Linked DNA regions of Ovis aries. The protein of the gene in region 1 purifies or fractionates together with the protein of each later gene. This does not show direct contact. Links are inferred from orthologs where the notes say so. Each region holds a gene or a part of one and is shown on either strand. Other genes may lie near its edges.

The links. The genes of interacting proteins can lie anywhere in the genome.
Region 2: the proteins of IKBKB (region 1) and CASP8 purify together in Homo sapiens (affinity purification with western blotting; 3 studies listed by BioGRID and IntAct, with this or other methods). This does not show direct contact. The link is inferred for Ovis aries from reciprocal best matches to the Homo sapiens genes IKBKB and CASP8.

The regions. Positions count from the first base shown.
Region 1 is NC_056079.1:36,452,758-36,456,888, forward strand, and holds the start of IKBKB (inhibitor of nuclear factor kappa-B kinase subunit beta), read left to right. Parts: upstream 1-1,308; 5' UTR 1,309-1,411; intron 1,412-1,906; 5' UTR 1,907-1,924; coding exon 1,925-2,029; intron 2,030-4,131.
Region 2 is NC_056055.1:203,627,001-203,630,567, forward strand, and holds part of CASP8 (caspase-8), read left to right. Parts: intron 1-2,016; 5' UTR 2,017-2,049; coding exon 2,050-2,354; intron 2,355-3,567. UniProt on the Homo sapiens protein: Thiol protease that plays a key role in programmed cell death by acting as a molecular switch for apoptosis, necroptosis and pyroptosis, and is required to prevent tissue damage during embryonic development and adulthood.

The DNA of each region.
Region 1 (4,131 bases):
TCATGCACTGGAGAAGGAAATGGCAACCCACTCCAGTGTTCTTGCCTGGAGAATCCCAGGGACGGGGAAGCCTGGTGGGCTGCTGTCTCTGGGTCGCACAGAGTCAGACACGACTGAAGTGATGCAGCAGCAGCAGCAGCAGCAGTCAAGACTATGGTTTTTCCAGTAGTCATGTATGGATGTGAGAATTGGACCGTAAAGAAAGCTGAGGGCCGAAGAATTGATGCTTTTGAACCATGGTGTTGGAGAAGACTCTTGAGAGTCCCTTGGACTGCAAAGAGATCCAACAAGTCCATCCTAAAGGAGGTCAGTCCTGAATATTCATTGGAAGGACTGATGGCTGAAGCTGAAGCTCCAATACTTTGGCCACCTGATGTGAAGAACTGACTCACTGGAAAAGACCCAGATGCTGGGAAAGATTGAAGGCAGGAGGAGGAGGGGATGACAGAGGATGAGATGGGTGGATGGCATCACTGATTCGATGGAAGTGAGTTTGAGCAAGCTCTGGGAATTGGTGACGAACAGCTAAGTCTAGCATCCTGCAGTCCAAGGGGTCACAGAGTTGGACCCCACTGAACTGAACTGACCGACTCACTAAGCACTCTATCACTCTGTAAAGTGAGCTATTATCTTCAGATTGCCTTTGATACCTTACCCTTGCTTGAGTAATAATACACACACACACATACACACAATCTTTGTCTGCTAATATGTTGCCCTCGAACTGAGAAACTCAATAATAAACTCAAATCATGATGCCAAGGAGGTCGGAGATGAAGGATTAACAGGCCGAGAGGTAGTCTCACAATTTCCGCCCGTTACTGGGGCTGAACCTCCAGTTTTGCGTTACAGTATTAGATTTTCTCCCCCTCTTCTTAATTTTTTTTAAGAGGGAAGAGGAGGTTGTCACGCCTAGGGACTACAGGTGTGATTTATCATTATCGATCTGAGCCCAGGAGTCTCCAGACCAGGTGAGGGATTACAGCCGGAAAAGCTAGAGCCCCAGGGTAATTCTGGTAAAACGTCCCTAAATCCATCCTGGGGGGGGGCGGGGAGGGGGGGGAGCGGGAGTGGGGGAGGAGCGGGAAATTCCCCTACTTTAAAGTCTAGGAAGCCTGGTCAGGCTGACCCCGGGGCGGGGCTGCGGGGCAGGTGAGGAAATCCCCATCTTCCCCGTCCCAGAAAGCGCTCAGGTACAAGTCGCACGTCTAAAGCGCACGGGGGCGTTTTCCCCAGGGTCGGTCACCGGGCAGGGGCGGGGAAGTCTGGGCCGGCGGCCCCTTTAAGGCCGCGACCCACGTGCCCCGTGACGTCAGAGCAGGAAGTGTTTGAGGAAGTTGGCGCCTGTCTCGAGGCTCTGAGGGCCCCGCGCGTTCATGTCTTCGGGGCGGCGCCCGCGCCCCGCCGCCAGGTGAGTGCCTCGGGCGGGCGCCCCCGCTGTCACCCGCACCCCCGTCTCCGAGGCTCCCAGAGACGCGCGTGACCGGCCCCGAATCCGGGGCTTCCCGGGCGGGGAGGGCTGGGAGGCCCCGGCGGGGTGGTGCCGGGCGGGGGCCCGGAACGCGGCGGTGATTAGTCGGGACCAGCGGGGAGGCGCCGGAGCGGGGGGCGCAGCCCGGGGATCCCCTGGCAGTTCCTGGGTGCGGGGGCGTCCTGTCCTGGGCGGGACCCCCACCCACCCCTTGCTGCTTCGGGGTGAGGTGGATGGGGGGCTGCGAAAGACAGGACTTTGCTGCCCAAACGAAAACCAGACCCAGCCACCTGCTTTTATGTACGGAGATGAAAAATCAGTTCCGATTTTTCTTTACCATCGAAGCGCTGTGGCATCTCTTAACCTTGTCCATCTTCCCACTTTTCCTTAACCATCACCTTTTGTTCCCCCCCTCGCCCCCCACATTGCTTGCAGCGTTAGCAGGACTTCAGTATGAGCTGGTCACCTTCCCTGCCAACCCAGACATGCGGGGCCTGGGAAATGAAAGAGCGGCTTGGGACAGGGGGATTTGGGAACGTCATCCGATGGCACAATCAGGTAGGCTCTGTGCTGCTGGGAGGAGCCGGGGGGCGGCAGGGTTAGGGGGTGCAGACTAAGTCTCACCCCCTACCCACCCTGTGAATGGGGCTCACCTTGGCCCTGGGCTTCTTGGGAGAGAAAGGGCCTGGGAAGATAGCCTCAGGTCCCCTAAGCTGACTAGGTTAGTGGTCTCCAAGCTTTACTGACTATGTCACCTAAATAAATAGTAAAAAAAAAAAAAAATGTAAGTTTTCAGCTTCAAATATATATTTTAAAATTACATATCTTTGCTAACCTAATATTATCACCTACTAATATATTGTGTAGTTGACTCATTGGAAAAGACTCTGATAGCTGGGAGGGATTGGGGGCAGGAGGAGAAGGGGATGACAGAGGATGAGATGGCTGGATGGCATCACCGACTCGATGGACATGAGTTTGGGTGAACTCCGGGAGCTGGTAATGGACCGGGAGGCCTGGCGTGCTGCATTTCATGGGGTCGCGAAGAGTCGGACACAACTGAGCAACTGAACTGAACTGAATATATTGTGTACTAATGTATTAGATGTTATGAAACATGCAAACATGTTTTCACACTTTAGAAAAATCTTAAGTGTAAAAATAATAAACCATTTTTAAATGTTTTAAAAGTTAATTTAAAAACCATTTTAAATACTTAGCAGTTATGGTGTCTTCCCAGTGTTGTTTGCAATACCTCACAGTGAGAGTTATACAGAGGCACGTGAAAATGAGAATTATCGTTGAGGATGGTGGGTGAACATGCACGTTTCAAGTAATCTTTATAATTTGAATTCTTTGGGCCAATTTTACATCTCATAGATCATCATTTTCTTAATGTCTTTGACATGTGAATTTTTCACCCCACAAGCATTAGGGCTTCCATATTCCTGTTTGTCCTGGTGATACATGCACTGAAATTCTCCACAAGAATCTCTTTAAGCCACTCATCCATTTTATGAGAGTCCTTTTATTAAAATCCTGGAATGAAAAGTCAAGTGGGCCTTAGGAAGCATCACTATGAACAAAGCTAGTGGAGGTAATGGAATTCCAGTTGAGCTGTTTCAGATCCTAAAAGAAGATGCTGTTAAAGTACTGTACTCAATATGCCAGCAAATTTGGAAAACTCAGCAGTGGCCATAGGACTGGAAAAGGCCACTTTTCATTCCAATCTCAAAGAAAGGCAATGCCAAAGAATGTTCAAACTACTGCACAACTACACTCATCTCACACGCTAGCACAATAATGCTCAAAATCCTCCAAGTCAGGCTTCAGTAGTACATGAACCATGAATTTGCAGATGTTCAAGCTGGTTTTAGAAAAGGCAGAGGAATCTGAGATCAAGTTGCCAACATTCACTGGATCATCGAAAAAGCAAGAGAGTTCCAGAAAAACATCTACTTCTGCTTTATTGACTATGCCAAAGCCTTTGACTCTGTGGATCACAAGAAACTGAGGAAAATTCTGAAAGAGATGGGAATACCAGACCACCTAACCTGCTTCCTGAGAAATCTGTATGCAGGTCAGGAAGCAACAGTTAGAACAGGACATGGAACAACAGACTGTTTCCGAATTGGGAAGGGAGTATATCAAGGCTGTATATTGTCACCATGCCTATTTAACTTATAGTACATCATGAGAAATGCTGGGCTAGATGAATCACAAGCTGGAATCAAGATTGCTGGGAGAAATAATCAATAACCTCAGATATGCAGATGACACTACCCTTACGGCAGAGAGCGAAGAACTAAAGAGCCTCTTGATGAAAGTGAAAGAGGAGAGTGAAAAAGTTGTCTTAAAGCTCAGCATTCAGAAAACTAAGATCATGGCATCCGGTCCCATCACTTCATGGCAAATAGATGGGCAAACAGCGGAAACAGTGTCAGACTTTATTTTGGGGGGCTTCAAAATCACTGCAGATAGTAATTGCAGCCATGATATTAAAAGATGCTTGCTCCTTGGAAGAAAAGTTACGACCAACCTAGACAACATATTCAAAACCAGAGACATTACTTTGCCAACAAAGGTCTGTCTAGTCAAAGCTATGGTTTTTCCAGTAACCATGTATGGATGTGAAAGTTGGACCATAAAGAAAGCTGAGC
Region 2 (3,567 bases), on another chromosome or scaffold:
TTGCTCAGAAGGTAAAGAATCTACCTGCAGTACAGGAGGCTTGGGTTTGATCCCTTGTTTGGGAAGATCCCCTGGAGAAGGGAATGGCTACCCACTGCAGTATTCTTGCCTGGGAAATCCCATGGACAGAGGAACCTGGAGGGCTACAGTCCATGAGGTGGCAAAGAGACAGACATGTCTGAGCGACTATCACTTTCACTTTCTTTCATACTCACAACACTGCAGGAGAGGTTGTTCTTTTGATCTCACCTTACAGAGGAGAATTTCACCCTAAGAGGCTCTGAACTGCCCAGGCCTGGGCCAGGCCCACCGTGGGTTCTGGTCTAAGTTCTGTCTGACCCCACAGCCCCACTGCCTAGACACTTAGGTGCTGGTGAGATGCCTGGCTTTGACGGTGACCGTGTAGCCCGCCTCGTGTAGTTATGTCCCAGTCTTGTTACTATGCTGTGTCTGACACGAACCCTGCTCCAAGGGTTCCTTGTGCCTAGAATATAGGCTTATCAGAGCAGGGAAGGTGAAGGAGAAATCCATGGTGACTCAAGGGGCTCAAGGGGGAAAACTCCAGATTCAGGGCTACTTGTGTGAAGCCTGTCTGTGGTTTCCTGAAACACTACCCTCTCCCTTTCTTATCTGCTCAAACGTGTGTGTGTTAGTCACTCAGTTGTGTCTGACTCTAGGAGACGCCCATGGACTATAGCCTGCAAGGCTCCTCTGTCCATGGAATTCTCCAGGCCAGAATACTGGAGTGGGTAGCTGTTCCCTTCTCCAGGGGATCTACCTGACCCAGGGGTCAAACCCAGGTCTCCTGCATTGCAGGTGGACTCTTTACCATCTGAGCCACCAGGGAAGCCCACTCAAACAAGTCAATATGTGGAAATAGGGCTTTCCTGGAGTCTCAGTGGTAACAAATCTGCCTGCCAATGCAGGAGACCTGGGTTCGATCACTAGGTCAGAAAGATTCCCTAGAAAAGGAAATGGCAATCCACTCCAGTATTCTTGTCTGGGAAATCCCATGAATAGAGGAGCCTGACGGGCTACAGCCCGTGGGGCCAAAAAAGAGTCAGACACGACTTATCGACTATACAATAGCAACGTGTGAAAATACCCCATAATTTGAGTGGAAAGGCTGACCAAGTTCTTCTGAGTTCCGTTTCCAGTCTAGGGTTCTTGACTAGAGAGCCAGTCTTGAGGCCCTTGGGGGACAACACTGCATCGTGTCCTCCCACCACCATTGTTTCTGCCAGATCATATCACTTTTCCCACCTCCAACCCTTCCAATCTGTCCTCTACACTTCATTTTATTTTTAAAGTATAATATTTATTTTATACTGGAGTCTAGTTGATTTACAATTTTGTGTTAGTTTCAGATGTACAGCAATGTGATTCAGTTATACATATATGTATGTCCCCCACACTTTAAATGTTAATACTAAATTGGATGACATCATTGTCATGCTTACGATGCTTTCTTTGTTCCCCGTTATCTCCAGGACAGAGCCTGACCCCCTTGACCCATGGTCTGGGCCCTTTATAATGGTTCCTGGCCACAGTTCCATCCCTTTGTCTCACCATTCCCTCTTTCAGACTCTTCAGGGTTACTTTTTGAGCTCCCCATGCCTGTCTGAACTGACTTGAACATTCTTGCTTCCATCTTTTGCATACATTATTTCCTTCAAGAATTGTCCTTCACCATCTTCTCCCCAAAGGTGACTCCTCTCCAGGAAGCCCTTCTCCCAGGTTGAGTTAAGACTCTATATTTCTCCTGTGCTCTGGTTACAACTCTCTGACCACTGATTAGTTTGTAAATCTATTTTCCAAAACAGTGTTATGTTCCAAGATGATAATGAGTGGGAACCTGTTTGTTTGTATGTTTTTTTTTAATTTTGTTTTTCTTCTTCCCTGTATCTTTAGCAAAATGTCTGGCATATAGTAGATGTAATAGCATTTGATGAAGGAACAAACCAGTAAGTGGTAGTTTTCTTCCTCATCTGAAAATAACATTGTGTTTTAACCTAGGTAACAACTACATTCTCCTAACACTTGAAAAGCATGGATCTCACCCAATGTCTCTATAAAATTGGAGAGCAGCTGGGCAGTGACGACCTGGCTGCCCTCAAGTTCCTAAGCCGGGACCACATCCCATATAGGAAGCAGGAACCCATTAAGGATGCCTTGATGCTATTCCAGAGGCTCCAAGAAAAGAGAATGTTGGAGGAAAGCAATCTGTCCTTCTTGAAGGAGCTGCTTTTCCAAGTGAATAGACTGGATCTGCTGCTTAACTACTTGGACACCAGCGAGGAAGAGATGAAGAGGGAGCTTCAGATACCTGGCAGGGCCCAGATCTCTGCCTACAGGTGGGGAGAACCTCCGTGGTATGGACCTGGGAGCTGTGGGTTTGAATGGATACATCTTTATGGGCAGGGCTGATATTGTATATAGGTTGTCTGTATGGAGTGACTTTGGAGGCTCTGGTAAGAAGTTTCACCAAGGCCAGGATAAGAAATGTAGAGACTTTATGCAGAATTCAGAGGAAAAAAATGCTAAAACCAATAAAGTAAAATTTTCTTTACAGAGTGAAACATTACCAATAGGTACATGTGCTAACTGCTTCAGTCATGTCCGACTCTTTGTGACCCTATGGACTGTAGCCCTCTAGGCTCGTCTGTCCATGGGGATTCTCCAGGCAAGAATACTGGAGTGGGTTGTCATTTCCTCCTCCAGGGGATCTTCCCAACACAAGGATCGAACCTGTGTCTCTTATGTCTCCTGTATTGGCAGGCGGGTCCTTTACCACTAGCACCACCTGGGAAGCCACTGAAACTCAAATAGCCATGCTTTAAGCATTCTAATTCTCCTTTCTGTTACATGTCTGTTATCTTGATGCCTCTGCTTTGCTGATGTTCATACCATGCACTCAACTTTGCCTATTATTAAATAAAGCATTGCAGCTCCCCACTCGAGAACCCCTCCCATCTACTTGTGGATGACTATGAAATTCTCCACAGGGTTTTAGGCTTTTATTATACACTTTAAGGCTTGTGTTACTAAGTTCTTCAGTGAGGTGTGTGCTGCCAGTCATTCTGGATTGGCCAGGCTGGACCCCCACAATAATTGTGTGTGTTTTTTTTTTTAATGGTATAAGATAACCATTTAAAAAAAAAAATGTTCATCTATTAACTTACTAACGGTTGTGCTGGGTGTGTCTTCAGTTCTGCGCCTGGGCTTTCTCTAGTTGTGGCGAGTAGGGGTCACTCTGTCTTGCAGTGCACGGACTTCTCATTGTGGTAGCTTCTCTTTTGTGGAATGCCAGCTCTAGGCATGTGGGCTTCAGTTGTTGCAAGACTCTGGCTTGGTTGTTTCACTGCACATGCTTAGTTGCTCCACAGCAAGTGGAATCTTCCCCAGCCAGGTATAGAACTCGTGCTCCCTGCATTGGCAGGTGGATTCTTACCCACTGTTCCACCAGAGAAGTCTTAAGATAATCATTTCTAATCTATCCCTGGCCATACAGTGGAAACACCCGCTGTAATAACCAATCATCCTAAAGGTTAAACAGCTTCCACAATT